Linked DNA regions of Callithrix jacchus. The protein of the gene in region 3 purifies or fractionates together with the protein of the main gene of each other region. This does not show direct contact. Links are inferred from orthologs where the notes say so. Each region holds a gene or a part of one and is shown on either strand. Other genes may lie near its edges. The genes, in order: PPP6C, USP18, MAP3K7, RIPK2, TGFBR1, CARD11 and PELI3.

Region 1 (4,055 bases), on a different chromosome or scaffold from region 3:
CGCGTGCCTGCAATCCCAGCTACTGAGGAGGCTGAGGCAGAATTGCCTGAACCCAGGAGGCAGAGGTTGCGGTGAGCCCAGATCGTGCCATTGCACTCCAGCCTGGGTAACAAGAGCGAAATTCCATCTCAAAAAAAAAAAAGAAAAGAAAAAAAGAAAAACAAATAGAAGCAAAGTATAATGCAGTTGTGTTCAATAGGAAATAAAATGGTCTAAAAACTATATTTCATTAAGGTAAGAAGGAAATCTAATGTTTATCAAAGTAAGAGGTCCAAAGAAGTCCAACAGATTCTTTTTTTTTTTGTGAGATGGAGTCTCCCTCTGTCACACAGGCTGGAGTGCAGTGGCTTGATCTTGGGTCACTGCAACCTCCACCTCCTGGGTTCAAGCAATTCACCCTGCCTCAGCCTCCCAGGTAGCTGGGATTACAGGCACTCACCACCACGCCAGGCTAATTTTTGCATTTTTTAGTAGAGATGGGGTTTCCCATGTCGATCAGGCTAGTTTCGAACTCCTGACCTCAGATGATCCGCCCACCTTGGCCTCCCAAAGTGCTGGGATTATGCCATGCCTGAGACGTTATCATAAAAAAAAAAAAAACATTTTATTTATCATAAACACAAAGTTTAAAAAAGCTTTACACATGATAAATAAAAAGAAAAAATTCCAAATCAATTCACTGACATGCAATAGTCAACCTCACCTACAGGATTAATAATGCTACTAAGAGGTCTGGTTAGTTTTCCATGAATTGGATCCCAATGCTAGTTGTATTCTTATTCCAAAAAAAAGAAAAAAGAAACACGCATAGCAGAAAGAAGCCACAAAACAAATGTCTGAAGGACTGATGAGTATGTATGCTACATTGCTACTAATGAAGGCTCTATCCTTATTTTAAATTATCCTATTAAAAATGGGAGCATACACAAGAATGACTCCCCTATAATATGCTTCATAAAATTAACATATAAGTACAATTCAGTTACATTCACAACAGCATGTGTGGCCTCAAACATTATGCATACTTGTTGACTTATGTTAAGTATCAACTTCCAATACCAAAGAAGAAACAAACAAAACCCACAGTAATATATTTCTTGAAGAATACACTAAGATAAATAACTAGCACAAGCTGATAAGCACTGCTAGAAACCTAATAAGCACTGGTTTCACCAAATGCATAAACACTTTTCAAAAAAGCAGCATACCTAGGACGGGTGCGGGGGCTCACGTCTGTAATCCCAGCACTTTGGGAAGTTGAGGTGGGCGGACCAATTGAGGTCAGGAGTTCGAGACTAGCCTGGCCAACATGGCAAAAACCCGTCTCTACTAAAAATACAAAACAGCCGGGTGTCAGCCACCTACTCGGGAGGCTGAGGCAGGAGAATCACTCGAACCCAGGAGGCAGAGGTGCAGTGAGCCAAGATCGCGCCACTGCACTCCAGCCTGGATGACAGAGTGAGACTGTTTCAATAAAAAATAATGATGGAAGGGAGCGGTGGCTCACATCTGTAATACCAGCACTTTGGGAGGCCAAGGCGGGCAGATCACGAGGTCAGGAGTTCAAGATCAGCCTGGCCAACATGGTGAAACGCCATCTCTACTAAAAATACAAAAATGAGCCAGACGTGGTGGCATGTGCCTGTAATCTCAGCTGCTCAGGAGGCTGAGGCAGGAGAATCGCTTGAACCCAAGAGGCGGAGGCTTCAGTGAGCTGAGATCAAGCCACTGCACTTCAGACTGGGCGGCAGAGACTCCGTCTCAAAGAAAAATAAAATAAATAAATAAATAATAAGTTGAAAAGAAAAGCAGTATATCAAACTCATTCCTTTACCCATACATACATTTACTTGGACTCAAGGGCAACGAGGAACTCGTCTTCTTTAGAAAACCAAGAAAACGAAATCTTGAGTTAAGAAGGGGTTAAGGGGAAAGTATTTGTATTTATTAAGAACCAACTACTTTCTCCACTTCAGTAAGCTCAACAAAATACTCAGAAACGGGTTCACCTCTGAATTAGCAGAAGAAAACCCACGGTCCTAAAAGGCAATTTGGAGAAGGTGGAGGAGTGGCAGAGAAGAGGGACGATCTGACATTCGCTCTCGTCAGTACCAAACCACTCGGACCCACCGCCTTCCCCTTCCTCAGAGACCTAAACAAACTGGGGCCGCGTTGCAAGAGCCTGTGGCAACTCCTGTCAGACGCCGGCCACTCTGCGCTCCTGTCACCTCCAACGGGGACGATCCCATCCCGAGGGCACTGCCGCGGGGGCTCGGCAGTGAATGCCGGAGATCCCGGGAAGGGGTGGAAAGCTGCTAAGCAAAGCTGTTGCAGCTACGGGTCCTGGGGCAGCCCGAAGGCCAAAAGGGGCGACCCTGGGGTAGAGGCCGCGAAATCCCTTGGGATACCCACTGAGGCAACTAGGACATCATTTGGGGGACTTGGTTCCCCCAACCATTGGCGTGACGCCGGGTCGGGCCGGGTCGCATGGCATCGGAGAGGGCCCTCCACCGCGGAGAGACGGGATACCCGGCGGGGGTCCCACGAAGAGAGGAAGGGCGGGCCGGCGGGCGCCCCACAGCCGGAAGGGGCGAGCCTGTAAGCAGCGCTCCCGCCCCGGCAGGGCTCACCTTCAGGTCGTTCTCTGGCAGGTATTTGCACAGCCGCGCTATCTCCACATACTTGTCTAGGTCTAGCGGCGCCATTTTGAGAATAACAAGCCGCGGCGACAGCGGCGGGGTCGGCGGCGGCGGCGGCTGTAAAAGCAGCGGCGGCGGCGGCAGCGGCGGAGGCCGAAGCCGGAACTCTCCTACGTCACGTCCGGACCGTGAGTGGCGTCTGCGCAGCGCCGTTAAAGCGCGACCCGCTTCTCCCCGCTACCTCGGTACGCCCGGCGCCCCCTCTGGCTGAACCCCGGCTGCAGGCCCCAAGAGGCCCCCCCATCGGTCCAGCCTGCGAATTCTGATGGGACCCGTAGTCGCCTGCCGCGGGTGTTGCCGGGATTTGTAGTTTTCCGTTGTGGACAGCCACCCCTTTCTTTTCCTCCCCTTCAGTTCCTCCAGACTTTCACCTCCCGGCAGCGGGCGAGGCTTTTCCGAGGCAAAACGGCGGAGTAGGTCGTCCTAGCCACTCACTCGTTTCTCCTTCCAACCCTTTTAAGCACTCTCTCACTTTCACTTAACAACTGGGTAAGCCTGGCCGTAGTAACTTGTTTGCATCTTTCCAAGTGCCTGTGAAAACCTCGCTTAAGCCTGTGGCACAAATGTCAGGCTCCAGCCTGAAAGGAAGATAAAGAAATATTAAAGCATTTCTTGGCCGGGCGCGGTGGCTCACGCCTATAATCCTAGCACTTTGGGAGGCCGAGGCGGGTAAATCACGACATCAAGAGATCGAGACCATCCTGGGCAACAAGGTGAAACCCCGTCTCTACTAAAAATACAAAAATTAGCTGGGCATGGTGGTGGCGCCTGTAGTCCCAGCTACTCGGGAGGCTGAGGCAGGAGAATTGCCTGAACCCAGAAGGCGGAGGTTGCGGTGAGCCGAGATCATGCCATTGCTCTCCAGTCTGGGTAACAACAGCGAAACTCCATCTCAAAAAAAAAAAACATTTCTTATGCTAAATGCGATACAAATTCTATTTTTCCATTTAATCTTTGTAACAATTGGTAGGAAAGTGAGACTTGGAGGCTTTAAGTAGTTTACCCCAAATCTCACAGGGAACAAATGGTGGGGCCAAGATTGGAAAATGGCTTAAGCTTAAGCATACTTCCAGTGAGAATCCCACGAAGGCAGGGAGTTTTCTGCTGTGACTCCAGCACGGAGAACAGTACCGCATACCTTCAGTAGTTTATTCAACCGCTCTTTATTGAGCAACAAAGATGTACCAGGTACAGCTGCAGGCGCTTGGAATACTTAGTGAACAAAATAGACAAAGATCTCTATCCTATCTGTAGCTACAAAAACTACCAAATTTAGCCGGGGGCAGTAGTGCGTGCTTGTGGTCCCAGCTACACTGGAGGCTGAGGCAGAAGAATCGCTTGAGCCCAGGAAATGGA
Region 2 (3,500 bases), on a different chromosome or scaffold from region 3:
TGACAAGGCTGGGTGCGGTGGCTCACACCTGTAATCCCAGCACTTTGGGAGGCCGAGGCAGGCGGATCACCTGAGGTCAGGAGTTCAGGACCAGCCTGGCCAACATGGTGAAAACCCGGTCTCTACTAAAAATTCAAAAATCAGCTGGGCGTCAAGGCAGGTGCCTGTAATCCCAGCCACTCAGGAGGGTGAGGCAGGAGAATGGCTTGAACCTGGCAGGCGGAAGTTCCAGTGAGCCAAGACTGCACCACTGCACTCCAGCCTGGGCAACAAGAGTAGAACTCCATCTCAAAAAAAAAAAAGTTGACAAAAATCAAATGTTTTTCTTAAATCTACTAAGGACATGAAATCCTGTAAAGTTCTCTTAGAGGTACAAAGCGTTCACTCAAGAGCTTGCAAACAAATTGAACAGAAGATAACACCGGCCAGGCGCAGTGGCTCACACCTGTAATCCCAGCACGTTGGGAGGCAGAGGCAGGCAGATCACCTGAGGTCGGAGTTCGAGACCAGCCTGGCCAATATGGTGAAACTCCATCTCTACTAAAAATACAAAAATTAGCCGGGGCATGGTGGCACATACCTATAATCCCAGCTACTCGGGAGGCTGATACAGGAGAATTGCTTGAACCTGGCAGGCGGAGGTTACAGTGAGCCAAGATCGTGCCACTGCACTCTAGGTGACAGCAAAACTCCATCTCAAAAAAAAAAAAAAGTTCAGTAATAAGAAAAGTTTTAATAGCCCAATAGATGAAGTGAGATGTCACCAAAAATGTAAATTATTCACGGCCAAATGAGTAGGGCAAGCCGTTGTTGGGGGAGACAAAGAAAGAAACATCAGAGAAAGCACGACTGGGAATTATGGGCTCCCTCATTCCAAGTGCTCTCCTCAGAGCCGAGTCCAAATGTGAATCTGCGGGGCTCACGGACAAGAGGAACTCCCCAGTTTGTCTCTGTCGGACTCCAGTGGAGAGGTCCCTGCCCAGTCCCCACCACTGGGAGGCAGGAGATCAGAAGGCAGCTGTGGGGAAGATTCGCCTAATCCAGTCTCACCCCGAGAGGCCGAAAGGCAGAAGGAACTTACAAGAATAGGAGAAAAACAAAAGGCGACATTTCCCTGAACCCTGGCACCCAACCTCCCCTCTTCCAACCCACCTTAGGCTCCGCAGACCCCACAAGGTGGGCAATTTAAGAGGGAGAGAGTACCACTAATCTCAGACTTCTTGGGGAAAGGGCTTTGGCTTATGAGATAGGGCAATAAAAAAGTAAAAATTGGGGGCTGCAGGTGAGCACAGATTTCCGCATCCAGTACAAAGGGACCTCAGCAGTAGACATGGGAACTAACTGCCACTAGACGCCCAGCGCTGGCTGAAAGCAGCTTCCACAGAGGACCCCACTGAATCCTCCCAGCACCCATGTGCTTGCTGCTACCATTGTCCCCATTTGGTTTTGCTTTTTAGAGATAGGATTTCACCATAGCCCAGGCTGTATCCCCGTCTAAAAGACGCAGAAATTCAGGCCCAAGAAAGCCGGTGCCATCAGCCAGGATGCTCTGCTGCTTCAGAGCGAAGGGGGCGAGGCAAGCATTGACATGCAGTCAGGGCCGAGCGTGGTGGCTCACGCCTGTAATCCAAGCACTTTGGAGGCCAAGGCGGGCAGATCATCTGAGGTCAGGCGTTCAAGACCAGCCTGACCAACATGGTGAAACCCCGTCTTAAAAAATAAATAAATAATTTATTATTTATATAATAAATATTTAATAAATAAATATATAATAAATTTATATATTATATATTTAGTATATAAATATATTTATTATATATTTAATAAGCATATGATAAATATACATGTTTATTATAAACAAATTTATTTGTTTATAATAAATAAAAGACATGCAGTCAGGAAGAGGAGAATGGGAGGGGTCTAATGACCATGAGGGTATTCCCAGGCCCCAGGACGAGCTCCGGGCTGCTCTCCCTTCCTCTTCATGTTGCTGTCTGCTTCCTTCTTTCCAACAGGATCTGCTGGGGACCGTGGAGACTCAGCCAGGTTTGACTGACAGGTTTGTCCCAGGAGCCCAAACGCCTTGCCCATTCGTGATCACTCCAAAACCGCAGGCCGCAGCTGCCAGGCCGATGTGCAGGACAGCACCACCTCACTTCCAGGAAGAGCTCATGGGAGTGAGCCAGGCACAATGGGATCGCTGTGAAAACACAATGCAGGAGGTAAGGATTCGAGAAGGGGGAATGTGTATGTTTCATGTAATCCGTTCTGATGCCAAAGAGCCAGGGCTTAGCGGGAGGTAACTGTTTGGGGAGGTTGATGCATAGAGCTCTAGGCTGGAAATGACAGCTAGGCTACACATCCGCTACTCTGGGTCCCCCGAGTTTCCATTCATTCTTCCTCAGAGCGGACTGCCAAATCCTAACCCAGAATGCCTTCTTGGGGAAGGACAGGAAAGCCCGCATGGGACTCCGCTTTGCAGCCCAGGATCAGGCCCACTTCAGTAAATGCCAGCACTGAGCAGAAACTCAGCCCCTGATGCCAGGCTGGCACCCACAGAGGAAGCCTCTCAACCTGCCCCACACCGGAAGGGAAACTGCGGCCCTGTAGCACAGACCTGTGTTCTGGCCGCATCACTGCGGCTGCAGCCGTCACAGGCCTCAGATAAACCTCAGCTCCAGGCAGGCGCTGGCACCCACAGGCCTCGGGCACTGGGCTGGTCTCACGGCAGTGGACTCTGGGTGTGACCCAGTATTGCGTCAGCCTCGGTGGCCATAGGGTTACCCGTGCACCCCTCCCCCAACCCCAGCACAGCAGCATGAAGAGAGACACTGTTTGCTTAGGGAAAAAGAGGTAGGTAGAGGACTTTGCCTGGGAACGCAGTACTAGGTTCACTACAGTAAAACCCAGTACTGGGCAGAGCCTCAGCTCCCTGATACTAGACCAGTACCCACAGGCAGATCTCACGCCACCCTAGTGCCAGATGACAACACGCTCCCCAGCGACAGGGACTTGGGGTCTGGCCCACATCACCACCTACCAGCTACAGGGACCTTGGGTGCTGAATAAACCTCAGCAGCAGCAGGCAAGCCATCGCAGCCATGGGTCTTGGGCGAGCCCAGTGCTGTGCGGGTCTCAGCAGCCATGGCCTTCAGGCGTGACCCGGGCTGTGTCGGTCTCAGAGACCAGAGAATTCCAACCACAGTGATCCCGGACTTAGGGCATGCCCTGGCACTACAACAGCTGATGCAGTCATGGGCTTAGGGTCCTGAGCAATCAGCCTCTCCTTAATCTCGGATGAAAGAAGAGCCCAAACAAAGCCGCATGATGAAGACTGGCTTCGGTACCTGTGTCAATGCACGGACACTGGCACACAGCCCTAAGAAGCAAGATCAGTCAGAGGAACATGACATCGCTAAATGAACAAATTAGGGTTCCATGACTAACCCCAGAGATTCAGAGCTGAGGCCTGGCACGGTGGCTCAGGCCTGTAATCCCAG
Region 3 (4,094 bases):
TATTCTTTCTTTTTTTATCCATTTATCAAACTGTCATTGCGTGTCACTAGAACTATGATAAAAAAAAAGTGACACAATGTTTCCCAGGAGTTGGTAACTTCTTGATGGTCAAATCCAATGACCTATTTGCAATCCCAATTGTGTTTAACATAATTCTTTTTTATACAGCATATACTTGGTTGGCTACTTCTTCATTGGAGAGCTTTCCTCTGGTGACATTCCAATTACTATTTTCCTCACTTCCCTCTTTCAGTCTCTTACTGAAACTTAGAATTTGACATTAGCGTGAATCCATCCTTGGTCTTTACATTTTCATTTCTAACTCCAATTTTCCACGGTTAGGCTTTATGTCAAACGGACTAAATAGAGTTCAACAGTTAGTTTAAAACTAAAACTTGTGCTGATAGTACAATATAGGCAATGCTGCCCATTTTGGGGACAAGATTGATCTAGTTTCAGAGGACCATAATTGCTTTAAAGTCTGAGCCTATTTTCTCAAGTCCTGAAAATGGAGATGTAAAAATTTGATTTTCAAGACGACTGTTGATGATTCATTTACCAATCTAAAGCAACAGTGCCCTGCACTCGTAATCCATAACTTGAGATGAATACGCCAAATTATGTCTCTTAATCATCTCCTCCATATAAAGTTGTAACACCAAAATATTAACTTCTGTTCATGAGCACTCAACCTCCACAGTTATTCATGTTGCATAAGCTGATTCGCTCTTTTAGAATCTCTCATAGTGTCAGGGACGAGCTCAAAGTAACAGGTGCAACTGCTTCGTTCCATATCCCACACTGAGGAAAATACATTTCGTAAGCTGTCTTAAAGAAACAGGTCAACTTAGTTTAGGGCTGAAACTTAAAGGTAAGCTTCGTCACAAAAACACATTTCAATACCATCTTGCCTGTCTGCAGGCAGCTAAAAGGAGACGCAGTGAGGCCAAAACATATTTCACGCAGCAGAGACGAAACCCCATCTTTCATCTTTCCCGCTGGTCCTTAAAGGACCAACCGTACTGATTTTCCGTCACGTTCCGCGCCACTTCCGCTCGCGCACTTTAATTACGTTAGGCATCAGCTCTCGCGTTATCATCCGGTTGCTGAGGCCCTGTAATAAAGGTCTCGCGAAATTTGTTCTAGAGGTCCAAGCTTGCTTCTTAGCTTACTCTACCCCACCCCCAACGTGTCCCTCCTTTACTTTCCAAGTCAAAAAAATTTCCCCTCCCATCTCCTCCCCCAGAGTTTACGGCCCGCTTCCTGTTTCCGATTTCAGCCCGGAACCGGAAGTATAGTGGGCGGGGCCCGGCAGCGGAAAACGCAGCGGAGCCAGAGCCGGGACACGGCTGTGGCCGCTGCCCCTACACCCGCCACGGACCGACGGGTGGTAGGAGTGCGCGGCTCCAGGCTGAAGGTCGGTCCGGAGGCGGGTGGGCGCGGGTCTCACCCGGACTGTCCGGGCGGCACCGTTCCCGGGCCACCCGGGCGCCGCGAGGGATCATGTCTACAGCCTCAGCCGCCTCCTCCTCCTCCTCGTCTTCGGCCGGTGAGATGATCGAAGCCCCTTCTCAGGTCCTCAACTTTGAAGAGATAGACTACAAGGAAATCGAGGTGGAAGAGGTGAGCGAGGCCCGGCATGTAGACGCCGGTCCCGGCCCGCCCCGACCCCTCCTCTGCCTGTGCCCCAGAGGTCCTGGCTTTGAAGGTGTCTCCCCGACCCCTCTAATTCGCTGGACCCTAGTGGGTCCACCCGGGAGACCCCACATCCCTCAGTGACGCGGGAGTAGGAGTTACTCTCTGAGCTCAACTGTTCGGGAGTAGCTTTTTTTCCCTCACTTGGGCACTCTTGATTTTGGATTTGATATCCCGGTGATAAACAGGAGAATGAACTGGTGAGATATTGTGGTCCACCAGTTCTCGTATCTGTAAGTAGTAGTTTCAGCGAAGATCGTAGCCGTTCTGGAGTTTCAGTTCGCTGGCCGTAATGTTCTGAATGGTCAAAGATTGTATGATGTTCGACTTCTACCTCAATGCCTGGCATGTAGGGGATGCTCAATAAATGCTTCTTAAATTAATAGATCGTCAAGTCTAATAAAGTGTTTCCCTTGGCACCGAATGGTTCTCAATTTCTCCGATTTAAATGCTCGGCTTCCAGTTGGGTTAATGTAGGTAAATTTCACCATAAGTAACATAGACTGGTCTACGATCAAAATATGTTTCAAGTAGCATACTCTGAAGAGAACGAATGATTACAGTGACAATCAGAATATTAACATTAGACTAGAAATCGCTATCAGAAAACCCATATCCTCTTTATTCTGCAGTAATTTATTTTAGAACCTGTTATTTCAATGTGACTTTAAAGCATTGCTTCTTTTCAAATTAACAGAGAGGTAATTGGGTTCTAATGACTATCAAATTTAGAAAAGTAAAAACTGCGTATATATATTTTAAAGACACTCTAGAATTTGTTAAAAACTTCGGTTTAAAATATCAGCTCTTACCTTTTATTTGCCTTTTTAAAAAATTTTTAAGCACTTTGCGTTTTATATACCATGAAAAACCTAGTGAAATATTATAGATTGTCAACAAGTTGTGTCTACTTTAAAATTATAAAATTATTTTTAAGTATCAGCAAGTTCAAAGTAGTAAGATAACGTTCAACAAATAAATTTTTTTTCCTGTGCATGTTTTGGAAGAGTAGTGGATTACTGGATTATATGTATTTTTATCACATAAAGTAACTTTAAAGATTCATTGAGAACATCCTTATTTTACAAGATAATATGATGGGAAGAGCAAGGTGTTTGGAGTTAGAGGAAAGTTCAGTGTATCAGATACGCCATTTATTAGCTGTGTGATTTGGGGCAAGTTTCCCAACCCCTTTAAATTTTAGTTTACTGTAAGAAAGAGATAATAAATTCTGTTTGATTTTATCTGCATAACACATCATAGTCTTAGACATTATATGCAAAACACCTACCACAGGGCCTGACACATATTAGGAAACCTAGTTCCAGAGAGGAAATGTGACCTGCTTTAAGGTCAAATAGCTAAAAGAAGACCTGAAAAAAGGGAGAAATGTTTTTAGTGTATTTTTTTTTGCGTTAAGGCTATGATAAATTCCTTTTCCAGAAGTGGATAGTTGATCCAGCTTTCATGGCTAATATTCTTTTTTAAGAATAAAAATTCAGTGAGTCAGTATACAAGAATTGCAGTTTTTAAATAAGTGTTTGCGTCTGCTCTGTGGTGAATTGCTTGCTGTGCTTGTAGACTACAAATTGTTATATAATAATAACTTGTGCTTTATGGTCTACTAAATGCTTTCACAAACATTTCATTTGGTTCTTAAAACCTTAGTTTCTGTTTGCTACTTTTTAAGGCTTTTTGCATTCTTGATTCACGGAAAAACAAGTTCTAAGGAGGTAGTTATCATTTTGATGCTTTTCCCTAAAGCTGTTTCACTTCTTGTTAGGTTTGTGTGTTTCCAAGACCCTTCTCTCAGTTTAAATAATGTTTCAACCTTTGTGTGTATGTGGGGGTGTGTGTGTATGTAGGACATTTCTAAGGAGTAGGTTTTTGTTTATAGATGAAAATTTTTTTCTAATGGTAGTCAGTTATTTGGGTTTTTTGTTTTATTCCTTTTCATTTTTAATACTCTGTTCATTTTTGCATAGAAGGTTGAATTTAGACATTTCTGATATTGAAAGCATTACATAATTTCCATCATCTTCATTTGCACATATTAAAGCAATGTTATACAATCCAGGGTGAACCATGGACCCTTATTAGCTCTTTGTCAACTTAGATTACACTTCCAGTAAAATTGTGAGTAAAATAACAGAGGAAGATAGTCAGAAACAAAAACTATTTTATGTTGCTTTCAGTATTTTATGTTGTATAAGAATATTACCTTCTAAATTAAGAAAATCATATTTTGTATTTCTCAATATAATTGAATTGTATTATATCAATATAACTAGAAAGTTAAAAAAAAAACTCAATCACAGGCTGAATATGCAGTCCTTTAATTGATACATATTTCTAAGACATCAGCTGATCTTGCATTTCTAATATTGTAACTCAGTAGT
Region 4 (3,500 bases), on a different chromosome or scaffold from region 3:
GAGATCATACGTGCCCGGTGAGGTATATCATATGGCAAACTTTCTTCATTAATAACAGGTCTATGTCCTTGTGACACACTATACATTATCTGCAAAGGATTGGTGACGTCTGTCAAAACAAATGGACTGCATCCATTAGAAATATATTATGATTCAGCATATTACTTACATTCTAAAACTAAAAGAAAATAAGTGAATATTAAAATTTTAGAAATAATTCATTACCCCCTTTTCTGTGAAGGAAATATATATATCCCACACCATTGCCAGACTTGTCTGATTCCTATGGAAGGAGTTTATATCCTCACTTCATTAATTTTGGGCTTGGCCATGTGACTGGATTTGCTCAACAGAGTATTTGTAAAGCAGAGCTGAGCAAAACCTAGCAGAATCAAGAAGAGCTACAGCAACTAATATTTAATGTGAATGAAAAATAAATGCTTATTGTCTAAGCTATGGAGATTCTGAGGTGGTTTTTTGTCACACAACAACCTGACCTACACAAACCTCAAAATAAAGAAATAAACAATATTTTCCAAGAATAAAAAGGACAGATTAGTCTTCAGTGTTTGCTGGTCTTTATAGACAGAGCAGTAATTAAATTATCATATAAATAATTTTACAGCTAGAATGGAACTTGAAAATAGTAATTTAAAATTCTTATTCTGCAGGTGACAAAAATGAGGACTCAAGAGATTGTGTGACTTGATCACAGAGATAATTACTATCAGAATGGGAATTCAAGTCTGGGTTTTTCTGATCTTTAATCCAGTATATTTTCTAATACAGTAGACTCACAACTGCATCCTTAACCCAGTATGCTTTGTAGTATGTGATACATTCACAATTGATAAATTCTTGTTTTAGTGTGTTTTCCACAAAATGAATAAGCAGATTTAAAATAACATGATTTTTAGATAGTTCTAAGGGTGACCTACTAACATGATATTATTGAGCATAAAAAAGTCAAAACATACCTTCAAAAGGCTGTTTTCTGGATAACACTTCCCATGTCATAACTGCATAGCTGTTTAACATAAGAACACACATGTTATGCATTTTAAATGACCTCTGCATAATAAACTAAAATAGCACTATTTTTAAAAGCTGACTGTGAAGATACCATTTTTGCAAGTAAGAAGGCATCAAAGAATTACTGTATACAATTAAGATGATGAATGCTCATCTAGTTTTGTTTTGAAAGAAAATCAATTTTAATTTAAAAAATTAGGAAATTACTGTAATAAAGCTTAATGTTACAGGCAAGATTAACTTTTTGTAGATGATTTAATACTGGGATTAATTCATGAACACCCACATAACCTATGCCCTTTAATTAAATGATACTATTTTTCATACAGAACAAAGAGCAAGAAAAAAGTTCTCATGTGGCTCTATTCTACTGACTTTTTTCTGCTCTCAGCACTCTCTTCTTTGGTAGTGGAAATAATCTACCTACAATTTAACTTCAGTTGTCAATTACAGGGTTAAGCTGTATAGAGTTTATAATTAGAATAAATGGTTAAATGGGATATAGGAATTTTGCCACACCCCAACATTAACCATGCATTCAAAATGGACACATGGAATTTATTACTACCAACACCTTGTGTTACAGGAAGAGTGAGGAGTACAGAGGGAATTCCTACCCAAATAAAGGAATAATATTTCCTCATATTTCCCTGACAGAGAGTACTGAAATTGTACATAAAGGCAAAATTCACAAAATGAATGACTAACAGATTTAAATTGGCCTATTTTTATAGAATCAAACCAGCTTTCAAGAACTGTTGGGAAGCACATGACTTTTGCCTTAGGAAGATATTAATACATTTTCCCTTCCCTCAGTACATCATTCAAAATGAATTAAAAAAATTAGAAAACAAAATATAAAAGGACAGTTTTTTACATTCATACAATGCGAATGTAAAAGACACTGTAAGAATTGTTTTATTGCACCCACTAAAATGGATTGGCTAGCTTTGGATTTAATGAGAAATAACAAAAATTAAAATGCTTTTGAAGAAAAGGAATATACAATTTAATTAAATTTATAGTTCTCTGGTAGAGATAGAGCATTTGTTCCTAAAATGATTCATTTTTAACTGAGTATTTATTAAAGATGGCAAAAACCCATTTAAAGAACTATAAAATGTGTTAATATAAAATTTAGAGTCTGCTTTGGCATTCACTAGTATATTAAAAGAGATAAGCATAACTTATAAGTGAGGTGAATGTCCCTATCTCCTAAAACTATGTAATCATCCTCCTTTTTTTCTGGTTAAATAACGAGTGTCAAAAACAATGTGTTATGCTTATTACTGCATTATGAGATTATAAGTAATATGCATCTGAAATATGAAAATATGATCTTCTCAAACCCACCAATTTGTTGAATAAAAAATTCACACACATACAAATATTAGGGGTTCTTTAAATAGAAACATCCCCTGTATGATTAAGAGTTTGTCTATTTATCTAAAAAGATGTATAGATATGACAGGCTAAAAGGTTGCACAGGTTGAGAAACTTAATGCTAAAATGTCAGAAACCACTATTTCCCTCTGCCTTTCCAAGTCACATACGACAAAAATCCTTAACTATATTATAAAGTGATAGGAATAAGAAGATATGCTTTAAAATTTCTTAAAGGATGTAAAAATTTCTTTAATTTGAAAAGCAAGTCATTAAATTTCTTTAATTTGAAAATCATTTATCACCATGGCCTCAAGTTTATTTTCACCACAATTATAAGAGAAGAATAAAAATCACAGTTTAAAATGTAGCTTCAAAATTCTGGTGGACTAATTTTGTGTTTGAGACAAGGTTAACTGAGCAAAAGCAACTTTACTCTACCTATATATATCATGCTTGATACTGGCCCTTGATTTTTGCCCAGGTTCATAGTTTTCAGGTGGCATATAGACAATTGTCCCTCCTTCTGGTGCAGATTTGCTACTTCGTGATTGTGAGAGGGACATCATGCGCCATTTTGATAAGCCGAAATCTGCAATCTGTAAGGGAAAAGGGCAAATAATTAAAAATTTTTCTCTTTAAAAAGTCCAAAAGTCAACTATCTTTGTGTATATTCACTGCATTTAGTTATCAATCTGAGAAAATGTTATATATTTTAATATTTTATTTCTGTGTATTTCACCAGCTTCTTACAAAATTAAATTCCATAGTGCTGAGCCAAATAACACTAGAAGCAATACATACTGACTTCAAGTTTAATATAACATTACAAATTTCAAAAGAGACTGTTTGAAAAATAAAAAGAGGCATTTTTTATCTGATATTCTCAGTGAGTGTGTACCTTGCACACCTTACTTTTTATGACATATATAGCTTGATACTTTCTACATCTCAAAGAGCTGCTAAGTCTACTCACATCTCATACAATTGTCACTGATCATTTTTTACAGTTCTGGTTTATACAATTGTATTCATAATGTCCTAAAGGTAGCATCCCTCAATTATAAAATAAGCAAAATCTCAAT
Region 5 (3,500 bases), on a different chromosome or scaffold from region 3:
CGCCGCCTCCCAGGTTCAAGTGATTCTCCTGCCTCAGTCTCCCGAGTAGCTGGGACTACAAGTGCATGCCACCATACCTGGCTAATTTTTTTGCATTTTTAGTAGAGATGGGGTTTCACCAAAATTAGTGAAATTTTCATTACATATGCTTTCCAAATTTTCACTTCACTCCTGAATTTAGCCCTTATTTGAAGATGATTCATACTTTTCAAAGGACAGTATATATCTCATTTAAAAGTCTTAACAAACCATTTGAAGTGTTTTTATCAACAGTATGGGTTCCATATTTTTGATGAGGAAACAGAAGCCGAAAGAGGAAACATGTTTTAACCAAGATTATATAGCCAATCTATGACAAAACTTGCCTTGGAAACTAGATTCTATTTATTCTTAGTCAAGTATCAAATTCTAAAAACATACGAGGTAGGAGTGTTCCTTAATAGTCTTCCAAACCTCATGCAAGAAAAAGTAAAAGATAGCAGCCCTTCAGTTTAAACATGAAGCACTGCTATGCCAAAATCCACCCTGGGATGACTGACAATTAGCTCTCCAAAATATCAACAAACAGAACTGAGAAAGGCAAACCTCATTAGGGGCCAAAACTACCTTAAATAAGAAGGTGGCTAGACATTTTTCTGAAGTGAGAAAATGACATAAGAGTTCATTAGTTTAATTTTTTAAAATGAGGCCTGTACTAAAGACAATTTCATATAATGTTTAAAAAGCAAATAACCTTCACAATTCAGAATACATTTCTGTCATGCCTGTTTTCAAATATAAACATCAAGCTGCTAAATAATCCTGAATAGAATGGGTTAGCTGCAAATGGTTTGAAGATCTTAAACTTCAGCTTCATCTGTATGAGAATAATTGTTTCTATCCTTTCTACCTCACAGTGATGAAAAGCAAATTTGATGATACCGGTGAGAATGCTTTGAAATTTATACCAACATGGAGCTCTACTTACTCATTTTAACAGTTAAAGTAAGTTCCAATCTATTTTAAACTAGCCACAGGCATATATATAGCAAGCTTAAAGATTTTTATTAGGTTCAAACCTGTAATATTATTTATCTCACATTTTAACAACTTGGCTTATTAAAAAAACTAATAAAATAAATACCCCTTAATTTTTAAAAGACTTGTTAGGAAAAAGGAGAAACAATTACATTACCTGAGCCAGAACCTGACGTTGTCATATCATAAATTAAGTCTTTCAATGTAGTACCCTCTGAAATAAAAGGGCGATCTAATGAAGGATCCTCTTCATTAGGCACTCGATGGTGAATGACTGTGCGGTTGTGGCAGATATAGACCATCAACATGAGTGAGACGCAGACGAAGCACACCGGTCCAGCAATGACAGCTGCCAGTTCCACGGGACCAAGGCCAGGTGATGGCTTCACTGAAAAAGGGCCTTGAGTGAAACAAACATCAACAACAACAAAACACTGTAGGTGGCAACCCCCATTTTCCTAATCCTACACAATTCCTGCAGCTGGCCACTGCCACCACTTAGCCGAAGAGCCTCATTACAACAGCTTATAGGGCTCAAACCCAGAACAAGTGAATCATTCAGTCTTCTCCCACTAGGCCTCCTTTTATGAACACCAGCTCTGTCAGTACCCACTTACTCTTCCTGTATTCTTCAGCCATCATCACAAGGTCAGCTGTCACCAATATTATAGGACCTTCCTCACTTATCATATTAGGTTACTAATACCAATACTCAATAATCAGGTTATTGGTATTAGTAATTAATAATTAGTAGTTAATACTCATTAACATCTCCTTAATAATCATCTTGTTTTTTTAAAGTATGTCTGGCTTGTCTTCTTGTTCTAAGGCCAGTACATGCCCATGGCAGGGGAAAAGAAAAACCCGAACAACAAAAAAAATCAAAACAAACAAAAAACCCAAAACACATACATCTTCATCACTCCCAAACAACTCACATTTTAGTATATATCTCTACTAATTTTTTTTTTTGAGATGGAGTTTCACTCTTGTTGCCCAGGCTAGAGTGCAGTGGCGCAATCTCAGCTCATTGCAATCTCCGCCTCCCAGGTTCAAGGGATTCTCTTGCCTAAGTAGCTAGGATTACAGTCACGCACCACCACACCTGGCTAATTTTTGTATCTTGGTAGAGATGGGGTTTCACCATGTTGGTCAGGCTGGTCTCAAACTCCTGACCTCAAGTGATCCACCCACCTTGGCCTCCCAAAGTGCTGAGATACAGGTGTGAGCCACTGTGCCCAGCCCATTTCTCCACCAATTTTTTTAAAGGCAAAACACATCCTTTGTTTTTTTAACAGAGTTTTCATATATATATATATACATATGTATATATATATTATTTTAACCTCCTGGACTTTTAAGTCCAGATCATTTTCTTGTAACTTCTACTAATAATTAAGATTTTCTGGTTGTTTCGGAACATTACAATTATTTTGACATTCATCCTGAGCCTTACTGGTTTACTGCTTACCACCACTTCATTCATATCACATCTTTCCCATTCTTGAGATCTTTAGTAGATTAATCTCTTATCACACAGAATCCTATTTCTAGTAATTTCTTTCAGGAAGAGTCTATGGGTCCTTGTACACTGAACTTAGTTGTGGCAAGAAAGCTGTTGCCTTTCTATATGAAAAATCTTGGCCTATTTCAAGAATTTTGGGTAACAGCAAGAATGTTCCGTTTGCCCTCTGATATTTAAGCAAAAAATGTGAATTTTTTTTTTTTTGCCTCTTACAGGTAACCAATGTTTATGTGTGTTAAATGCTTACATAATTCTTTTATTCTTGAAATTGATAATTTTTATTATATGTGTTTGTATTAATATTTTTCACTAATTCTGTGTGGTATTCTGTCTTCTTTCTTGTCTCATGCCTTTTTCTAGAATTCTGATAATAAGCATATTGGATAGTCTAAATCTGTTCCCTATAACTCTTAATATGCTCACCAACTGTCTTTTCTCTGAATTGTAACACAATTTCTTAAGCTTGTCCCAAACTTGACTATAAAATTATAGCATCTGGTCTGTTGTTTGCTCTCAATAGTGCATTTTTAAAAACATTCATCAGTTGGACTTTTCCTCTGAAAGCAACCTTTAACAACTGTGAAATGTTCTCATTTCATAGTCAATAACTGAAAATAGACCTTAAACTGTTTGAAACTTCTTCCCTATCATGTGGTAAGCCTAGTTCTTAGGATGACATCTAATCTATGTAGTTCAGACTACTTCTTTTGAACTCCTAACTTTTCATTGGTAATTTTTTTGTTTGCCTATCTTAGAGCTGGAAATGAGAAGTGTATATATGTTCATTAGAAACATAAGAGGTGAAGTGACTTCTTCACAAGGTTTTGCAAATCTCTACTCAGATATTTTGAGCTCAAATGACGGAACTGGGAAATTCTGGAACTATCCTTTTCTTTGCCACATTGTAACTCCAGATGCCTTCATCAAAGTCACAAAGATATTACAGTCTGACCAGCCC
Region 6 (4,253 bases), on a different chromosome or scaffold from region 3:
CTCCCAAGTAGCTGGGATCACAGGCGCCCACCACCACGCCCGGCTAATTTTTGTATTTTTAGTAGAGGCAGGGTTTCACCATGTTGCCCAGGCTGGTCTTGAACTCCTGGATTCCTAGAACCTGGGCCCCTCCTGTGATTCTGCCACCCCCTTCCTAGTATAGTGTCCACTCGGGGGGCTGTCCTGTCTCATCTCACAGCTCCGCACCCCCTTTTGGTGGGGCTGCCCTTCTTCCCTGAGATTTTCAGCATCATCTCAGCCCAGAACCTTCCAGGAATCCCTGGACCTTCTGAGTCCTCCTCTCACAACCTCACTCCCTGTTGCCCTCCTGCTCCTCCTAATTCTTTTCCTTCTCATGTGCATCTCAGCAACACTCTGAACAGACTGTGTGATGAATGTACTCGGGATGGAGCGCCATTTCTTCGTCCCCTATGGCACCAAGTACAAAGCCACCCACACACGCCCACTGATGGATTCAAACAAGTGTCGTCATCTTTAAAGAGTTAGGTTTAGAAGTCTTTTTTTTTTTTTGAGATGGAGTCTTACTCTGTGGCCCAGGCTGGAGTGCAGTGGCACCATCTCAGCTCACTGCAACCTTCACCTCCAGGGTTCAAAGCGATTCTCCTGCCTCAGCCTCCCAAGTAATTGGGACTACAGGTGCACACCACAACACCCAGCTAATTTTGTGTGTGTATTTTTAGTAGAGATAGGGTGTCGCCACTTTGGCCAGGCTGGTCTCGAACTCCTGACCTCAGGTGACCTGGCAGCCTTGGCCTCCCAAAGTGCTGGGATTACAGGCATGAGCCATCGCTCCTGGCCAGAAGTCACTTTTTAAAATCATATAAAGGATGAGCAGATACACAAAATATGGTCTATTTGCACGATAGCCCATTATTCATCCTGAAAAAGGAAGGAGATTTGGTCACAAGCTACAACATAGATGAACCTTGAGGACACAAGGCTCAGAGAAATAAACCAAACACAGGAAGGACATAAATTGTATGAGCCCACTTAGATGGGCTTCCAAGAGTCACCGGATTCCTAGAGGCAGAATGTAGAAGGGTGGCTGCTAGGGGCTGAGGAGGGAGGCAGGGAGTTCTTTTTTAACGGGGAACACAGTTTCAATTTGGAATGACGAGAAAGTTCTGGAACTGGATAGCGGTGACAGCTGAAAGACAAGGTGAATGTGCTTGACGCCACTCAGCTGTGCACTTCAAAAGGGTTCAATGGGCTAATTTTATGTCATGTGTATTTCACCACAATTTTTAAAAAATCACGTAAAGGATCATTCATGCATGAAGCGAAGCCTGCTGGGCCAGTAGAGCCGCAGCCTGCCTGATACCCAGGCAAGTAAAATCTCCACGGGTCCAGGCATTCTCTGGCCTTAATTGACTCAGCTGAGTCCTGGTCACTGATACCCTCAGGGCACCCCTGGCCTGAGGCAGGGCTATCATCTCTTTACAGATGCCTTGCTAGGGAGAGAACTGGAGTTTCAGGGAAAGCATAGAAATGGACACTTGCGGAGAAATTCCTGTCCTCACATTAATTCCGAGCTCCCAGGATTTCCGGCATGCATTATGCACAGGCTGAGCACTCAATAAATGTAGAATGACCAATCGACTATTTTTCTCCCCTTTCTGGTAGGTTGGTAACCTTACACCTTCAAGATGAGTCATGAATGCCAGGAGAAAATTTTTTGAACTGCAAATCAAAGGCTCTGAGAGCAGGCCAGGCAGAGAGAGGTCAGTTTGGTCCAAGACCAAGTTTGTGTGGGTGGCTCTGAAGCTCTCAGTGAGATCACTGTCCATGAACCTGGGTCCCCATGACAGCCTCCAGCAGTGCTCAGAGCCCCCCAGGGACAGAAACGCCCTCTCTGCCCCTCTCTGCAGAAGGCATTCAGTAGAAGGCCTGGTGGCCCCATCGGGCCTGAGGGACCTTCTGGGGAAGGTGGCTCTCAGGGTCCTGCTCCGGGCTTCAGTGGGGAACCTGGGCCCCCTCCTGTGCCCCTGCCATCCACTTCCTAGTAGAATCCCCGCGGGGGGCTGTCCTCTCCCAGCTCCCCACCCCCTTTTGGTGGGGTTGCCCTTCCTCCCTGAGCCAGGCCCCACCTTCCCAGGAGCCTCTGAGTCAGGCTGGGCTGTGGTCTGCAAACTTCCGGGCCTGTCAGGTGTCAGAACAGTTTCTCTTCCTCCCTCCGGGGCAGGTGCACCGAGGGGCACCCTCCGGGTCTCCAGCCTCCTGACCCCCAATTCTTTCCTGTCCAGTAGGAGGAGGTGGGGGCTTTGATCGGCAGCGACACTCAGAGACGCTCAGAGAGACACAGAGAGGTACACGAAGTGGAAAGTGAGGAACAAAAAGGGTTGGAAGGGAAAAAGGGGAGAGGAGAGTGAGAGAGAGAAGGGGGACAGGAGGACAGAGATGGAGAGGGAAGGATGCCCCCAGCATCCCATCTTCTAGCCAGCATGAGCCACTCCCATCCCCGAACGACTCCTCCACTCTGTCATCTCACTGATGCCCCCCCATCTTCTCCCCGTATCCTCCTCTCTTCCCCCAACTCCCCGCCTCGTGCTCCCCCTCCGCCAGCCCCCCATCCCCGCTGTGCCTACCTGAGGCGCTCATGCTCCGCCAGCTGCGCGGGGCGTCTCCTCCATGCAGGCCTCTGGCTTCCTCCAGGCGACCGGGCCCTCCGAGGGGCGCCGCCCCCCCAGGGGTTGCAGGGCGGGAGGGAGTTGCTGGTGGCGCGGGGCAGGAGTCCGAAGGCCAGAGAAGGCAGGAGAGAAAAAAGCAGAGAAAGTATGTCATAGGCTGGGAGGGGCGAGGGAGGGAAATGCAAAACCCGACAGGAAATGAGACTAAAAAATGCGAAAGGTTAGAAAAAGATAAGGAAGAGAAGGAGGGGGCGGAGTCCGTGCTTCAGGGAGGAGGGAGGTTAAGGAGGTGGGGGTGGGAGTGGGGACAGGGCCTGGGGCGGAGGTGCTTGGGTACCGATCAGGCAGCCCTGGATGGGGAGACCAAGGCTAGTCTCAGGGGGCCAAGCCACCCGCATCCCTCCAGGTGAGGGTGGACCAGCCTGGGCATCAGTCCCCACCCAGCTGTGACCCCAGGCAGAATCCAGGTGGGGCTATCCTTGGGAGGGGCTATCCCCTTTCTAGGATCTCCAGGGCTCTGGCTCCAGAGGTCTAGGCGAATTTCTGAAGAAATTCCAGGCCGTGTCACTGCAATGCGGGGATGGGGTGCCCCACATCAAATCCTGCAGCCTCCTACAGCCCAAGCTTCTTTCTTCCCTCAGCCTTTGTTCTGGAAGCTTCCTGGGCATCCCAGTGGTCAGCACCCCTGCAAAAGCTTTCCTCATCCCCCTAGCTTTGGGCCCCAAGACACCCACAATCAGCTTGTGTGCTCAACATTCCAGTGAACTATACTTGTAAGAGTAACTGTGATTTGGATGTCACCATTTTACTTTGCTTTTATTTTTTGAGATGGAGTCTTGCTTTGTCGCCCAGGCTGGAGTGCAGTGGCGCAATCTCAGCTCACTGCAAGCTTCACCTCCCGGGTTCAAGGGATTCTCCAATCTCAGCTTCCTGAGTAGCTGGGACTACAGGCGTGCACCATGAAACCTGGCTAAGTTTTGTATTTTTAGTAGAAATAGAGTTTCACCATAATGGCCAGGATGGCCTTTAACTCCTGACCTCAAGTGATCCACCAGTCCCAGCCTGCCAAAGTGCTGGGATTATAGGCATGAGCCACCGTGCCCAGCTGGATGTCATCATTTTAATAATTTACCCCAAAAGGTCATCATGGTGGGTGGGATGGTCCCAGGGTTTACATGGTTTGTGGACTCAAAAATCGTGATGAAAGAAAATGTGATACACACACACACACACACACACACACACACACACACACTATAGAATACACTCAGCCATAAAAAGGAACAAAATAATGTTTTTTTGCAGCAACTTGGATGGAACTGGAGGCCATTATCCTAAGTAACGAATTCAGGAGTGGAAAATCAAATACCACATGTTCTTACTTAAAAGTGGGAGCTAAGCTATGGGTATGCAAAGGCAGGCAGAGTGGGATAATGGACATTGGCAACTCAGAAGGGAAAGATTAGGAGGGGTTAGGAGATGAAAAATCACCTATTAGGTACAGCCTACCCTGTACAATGTACACTATTTTGGTGATGTGTGCACTAAAAGCCCAGACTTCACCACTACACAATTTGTCCGTGTAACCCAAAACCGCATGAACCC
Region 7 (3,500 bases), on a different chromosome or scaffold from region 3:
CTCCTTAGGCCCTCTAGGTTCCCAGATGGGTCTCCAAGTACAAGAAGCCATGGCCTGGAGCTTCTCCTCCTCTGTTGCCCCCAGCGCTGGGGATCACCCCACTCAATAAATACCGGTTGATTTGCCAACAGGATAATAATTAATAATAATATAATAATAATATCTGCTGCTCAAATGTTAGCAGCAGATAGTGAATTCTGAGTAACTATTTGCCATAGGCCAGCCACCATGCTAAGCATTTTATGTGCAATGCCTAAGTTAATCTTCCCGTGGGGTGGGTACTATTAAGGGCGTCATTTTACAGATGAGTAAACCAAGGCCCAGAGAACTTCAGTGACAATAGGTGGGCAAGGTGGCTCATGCCTGTAATTCTAACACTTTGGGAGGCCAAGGCGGGTGGATCACCTGAGGTCAGGAGATCAAGGCCAACATGGCGAAACCCTGTCTCCACTAAAAATTCAAAAACTAGCCAGGCGTGGTGGCGCATGCCTATAATCCCAGCTACTCAGGAGGCTGAGGAAGGAGAATCACTTCAACCCAGGGAGCAGAGGTTGCAGTGAGCCAAGAGTCCGCCACTGTACTCCAGTCTGTGTGATGAGAGCAAGACTCCATCTCAAAAAAAAGAAAAATGAACTTAAGTGATGGAGCCAAAATCTGAACCACACATTAGCCTCTCACACCTGAACTCCTGAGCTATGTGACCTCCCACAGTCTGGGAGTCTTGAGTTTGAGCCCTGATACAGCCGCTGACTTGCTGTATGACTCTGCAGTCAGCAGCCCACACTGGGACATCCTGCTTCCTCGTCTGAAGAGAAGCAACTTCCCCATGGCCTCCCATACTGTAGCCTCACCTGAGATGCTTGCAGAGCCTAGAGGCCTGGTGGCCAGGAGGTGTGTGGAGAGGCCTGAGCATACCTGGAACATGTCTGTGTCACTATCATGTGTATACTCCACTATGACTGAGTGGCTCCGGGACAGTGTGTACGAGATGCTGTGCTGGCCACGGTTACTCAGTGCCTGAGGGGAGAAAAAAGTCACTTGCCAGGGTGTGCAGCCATGATAAGGGTATGCCTCGAGCCGGCAGCTGGAGCTCAAGGCCCAGCAGCCACTCCCTGGGAAGTGGGCAGCTCCATCCTTTGCAGAGGGTGGACAGTGCAGTGGCTGTTTCATGTGATTTAAACCCTACAGTCACCCTAAGAATTTCAAAGTAATTGCCTCCTCCAAACTACCTGAGGCTGCTGGGATACCAGGGAGCAGTGGCACAGTCAGAGGGTCAGGATATTCAGTGGTGCCAGAGGATGGACCACAAATGGGGTTACCAGTCTGGGCATGGTGGCTCACACCTGTAATCCCACCACTTCGGGAGGCCCAGGTGGGCAGGTCACTTGAGGTCAGGAGTTCAAGACCAGTCTGGCCAACATAGCGAAACCCTGTCTCTACTAAAATATAAAAATTAGCCAGGTGTGGTGGTGCCCAGCTACTCAGGAGGCTGAGGCGGGTTGAACCCAGGAAGTGAAGGTTGCAGTGAGCCGAGATCACACCACTGGACTCCAGCCTGGGTGACAGAGCGAGACTCTGTCTCAAAAACAAAAAAGAATGGGGTTATTGTTCCCATTTCACAGTTGAAGGAACTACAGGTCAGAGAGAAACTAGCCTAAAGGCACACAGCTGGAAATATCAGAGGCTGAATTCTAACCCAAATCCTCTAAAGCCAAATGTTTTTCCTTTACCATTGCAGTGTGACTGTCGCCTCCCACTCTCTGAACCTTAGCTGCCTCTAAAATGGTGCAGCTCATTTCCATCCATTTCCATTTCCACTGGATGGAAAGAAGCAGCATCGTCTTAGAGGTAGCCAAGGTTCAGAGGGGTCCAGTGGTCAAGGAAGCATTTTGCAAACTGTAAAGAACTATGCACACTGCAAAGGATTTCTCATCACCATTCTCGGCTAGCCCAATAAGCAGTGAGTGATGACACAAAGTAGGCTCCCCTGTTGCAGTGGGGGGCTGTGGGCAGGTAGGACTGAGAATGCCAAAGACCTGGGCCTTGGGCGGGACCGGCTCAGGTCTATGGGTCAGTTGCTTGCCTTGGAGACGAGCGGCGTGGAGATATGGTGCATGACGTCCGGCTTCACTCCGTTGGCATGCGGCCGGCGGCTCAGTGCCAGGCGGCTTCGCCGGCGGCCCTTGTCCCCACTTGCCAGACATCCATTGTAGCTATAGATGTGGGGAGTTAAGAAGAAAGGGTTGTAAGAGGAGAGAGAGAAAGAGGGAAGGTGAACCCCTGATGAGACCTGGAGGAAACTGCCAACTTCTGGGGAGATCCTACGTTAATAAACAAGCTCTAGAAGCCCCACAATAACAAACTGGTGCACTGGGGAGTGGGCGGGGGGTGTCAGAACAGTTTCAAACGCACTTTCATTCAGTTAACCAAGTGTTTCCTGGACACTCAAGCCATGCCTGGTTCGGTGCTGTGCATGGGGGCAGTAGAGCACCACGGGGTCAGTTGTGGGCCCTCAGTGGAGAGGTTCCTCAGCTTCTCCAGGAACCTAAGTGCCACCTGCCACACCCAGACACAAGCCAAGGATGCCATAAGCCTAGAAGAAGAAAAGGGAATTCTGGCTCTAGGATCAGGTTTCTGGGAGAGGAAACACCTCTACTGGGTCTTGAAGAACTAGAAAGGGTTCACCTGTAGCAAACTGTCACTTCTCACACCACTACTAGGAAGCAAAATCAAAGGAAAAAATGACCCACAATGCCACTACCTCCATATGTCTATATATGTCAAATTTCCACCTGCCTTTCCAGTTCTTGTCTGGAAGGGACGGCTGTGAGAGGCACAGAGTGGGTGAGTCACAGCTCTCATTGCTGCCATGGGCTGCTGCCCCCGTGTTCCTGGCCTTCATGTTATCAGTCACCTAATGGCATCTGTGCAGTGGCCTGCCAGGCAAGCGGCTTTCTGCCCATCTTACACATGAGAGAAATCAAGGCTCAGGTAGATAAAGTGACTTGCCTCAGGCTAGTAGGTAAACATGTCCAGATTTGAGCCTGGTCTGTCCCACTCCAGACTTGCAGAAGCCCCTCTAGATGGAGGCTCACCCTAAGCAAAGGCCCCAAGGCTGTCAGGGTCTAATGAGATTGGGGAATGGTGACGTTGGTGAAGTGTGGTGGGGAGATGGCTCTGAACTCCAGGCTGAGGACGTTATTCTGTAAGCAGTGGAGAGCCAGGAAGGTCTGGGAACAGGAGGTGACAGGACAAATAGCTGCCAAATACAGACAAGGCTGCTGGAATCAGAATCTTCCAGAGAGTTTGCTAAAATCCAGATGAGGTCGGGTGCGGTGGCCCATATCTGTAATCCCAGCACTCTGGCGGACCAAGGCGGGCAGATTGCCTGCAGTCAGGAGTTTGAGACCAGCCTGGCCAACATGGTAAAACCCCATCTCTACCAAAAATACAAACATTAGCCAGGAGTGGTGGGTGCCTGAAATCCCAGCTACTCAGGA

What was found.
Region 1: the proteins of MAP3K7 (region 3) and PPP6C purify together in Homo sapiens (affinity purification with western blotting; 3 studies listed by BioGRID and IntAct, with this or other methods). This does not show direct contact. The link is inferred for Callithrix jacchus from reciprocal best matches to the Homo sapiens genes MAP3K7 and PPP6C.
Region 2: the proteins of MAP3K7 (region 3) and USP18 purify together in Homo sapiens (affinity purification with western blotting; 4 studies listed by BioGRID, with this or other methods). This does not show direct contact. The link is inferred for Callithrix jacchus from reciprocal best matches to the Homo sapiens genes MAP3K7 and USP18.
Region 4: the proteins of MAP3K7 (region 3) and RIPK2 purify together in Homo sapiens (affinity purification with western blotting; 4 studies listed by BioGRID). This does not show direct contact. The link is inferred for Callithrix jacchus from reciprocal best matches to the Homo sapiens genes MAP3K7 and RIPK2.
Region 5: the proteins of MAP3K7 (region 3) and TGFBR1 purify together in Homo sapiens (affinity purification with western blotting; 3 studies listed by BioGRID). This does not show direct contact. The link is inferred for Callithrix jacchus from reciprocal best matches to the Homo sapiens genes MAP3K7 and TGFBR1.
Region 6: the proteins of MAP3K7 (region 3) and CARD11 purify together in Homo sapiens (affinity purification with western blotting; 3 studies listed by BioGRID). This does not show direct contact. The link is inferred for Callithrix jacchus from reciprocal best matches to the Homo sapiens genes MAP3K7 and CARD11.
Region 7: the proteins of MAP3K7 (region 3) and PELI3 purify together in Homo sapiens (affinity purification with western blotting; 3 studies listed by BioGRID and IntAct, with this or other methods). This does not show direct contact. The link is inferred for Callithrix jacchus from reciprocal best matches to the Homo sapiens genes MAP3K7 and PELI3.

What each region holds. Positions count from the first base shown.
Region 1 is NC_133502.1:173,787,365-173,791,419, forward strand, and holds the start of PPP6C (serine/threonine-protein phosphatase 6 catalytic subunit), read right to left. Parts: upstream 2,801-4,055; 5' UTR 2,706-2,800; coding exon 2,631-2,705; exon of another isoform or gene 2,413-2,630; intron 1-2,412.
Region 2 is NC_133502.1:213,247,289-213,250,788, reverse strand, and holds part of USP18 (ubl carboxyl-terminal hydrolase 18), read right to left. Parts: intron 2,201-3,500; 5' UTR 2,092-2,200; coding exon 1,929-2,091; intron 696-1,928; coding exon of another isoform or gene 581-695; intron 1-580. UniProt on the Homo sapiens protein: Interferon-induced ISG15-specific protease that plays a crucial role for maintaining a proper balance of ISG15-conjugated proteins in cells. Regulates protein ISGylation by efficiently cleaving ISG15 conjugates linked via isopeptide bonds.
Region 3 is NC_133505.1:96,667,375-96,671,468, reverse strand, and holds the start of MAP3K7 (mitogen-activated protein kinase kinase kinase 7), read left to right. Parts: upstream 1-1,294; 5' UTR 1,295-1,503; coding exon 1,504-1,623; intron 1,624-4,094. UniProt on the Homo sapiens protein: Serine/threonine kinase which acts as an essential component of the MAP kinase signal transduction pathway. Plays an important role in the cascades of cellular responses evoked by changes in the environment.
Region 4 is NC_133517.1:37,377,464-37,380,963, forward strand, and holds part of RIPK2 (receptor-interacting serine/threonine-protein kinase 2), read right to left. Parts: intron 3,015-3,500; coding exon 2,857-3,014; intron 1,028-2,856; coding exon 978-1,027; intron 110-977; coding exon 1-109.
Region 5 is NC_133502.1:147,251,348-147,254,847, reverse strand, and holds part of TGFBR1 (TGF-beta receptor type-1), read right to left. Parts: intron 1,418-3,500; coding exon 1,175-1,417; intron 1-1,174. UniProt on the Homo sapiens protein: Transmembrane serine/threonine kinase forming with the TGF-beta type II serine/threonine kinase receptor, TGFBR2, the non-promiscuous receptor for the TGF-beta cytokines TGFB1, TGFB2 and TGFB3.
Region 6 is NC_133503.1:19,345,833-19,350,085, reverse strand, and holds the start of CARD11 (caspase recruitment domain-containing protein 11), read right to left. Parts: upstream 2,801-4,253; 5' UTR 2,607-2,800; intron 1-2,606. UniProt on the Homo sapiens protein: Adapter protein that plays a key role in adaptive immune response by transducing the activation of NF-kappa-B downstream of T-cell receptor (TCR) and B-cell receptor (BCR) engagement.
Region 7 is NC_133511.1:123,543,589-123,547,088, reverse strand, and holds part of PELI3 (E3 ubiquitin-protein ligase pellino homolog 3), read right to left. Parts: intron 2,214-3,500; coding exon 2,084-2,213; intron 1,018-2,083; coding exon 916-1,017; intron 1-915. UniProt on the Homo sapiens protein: E3 ubiquitin ligase catalyzing the covalent attachment of ubiquitin moieties onto substrate proteins. Involved in the TLR and IL-1 signaling pathways via interaction with the complex containing IRAK kinases and TRAF6.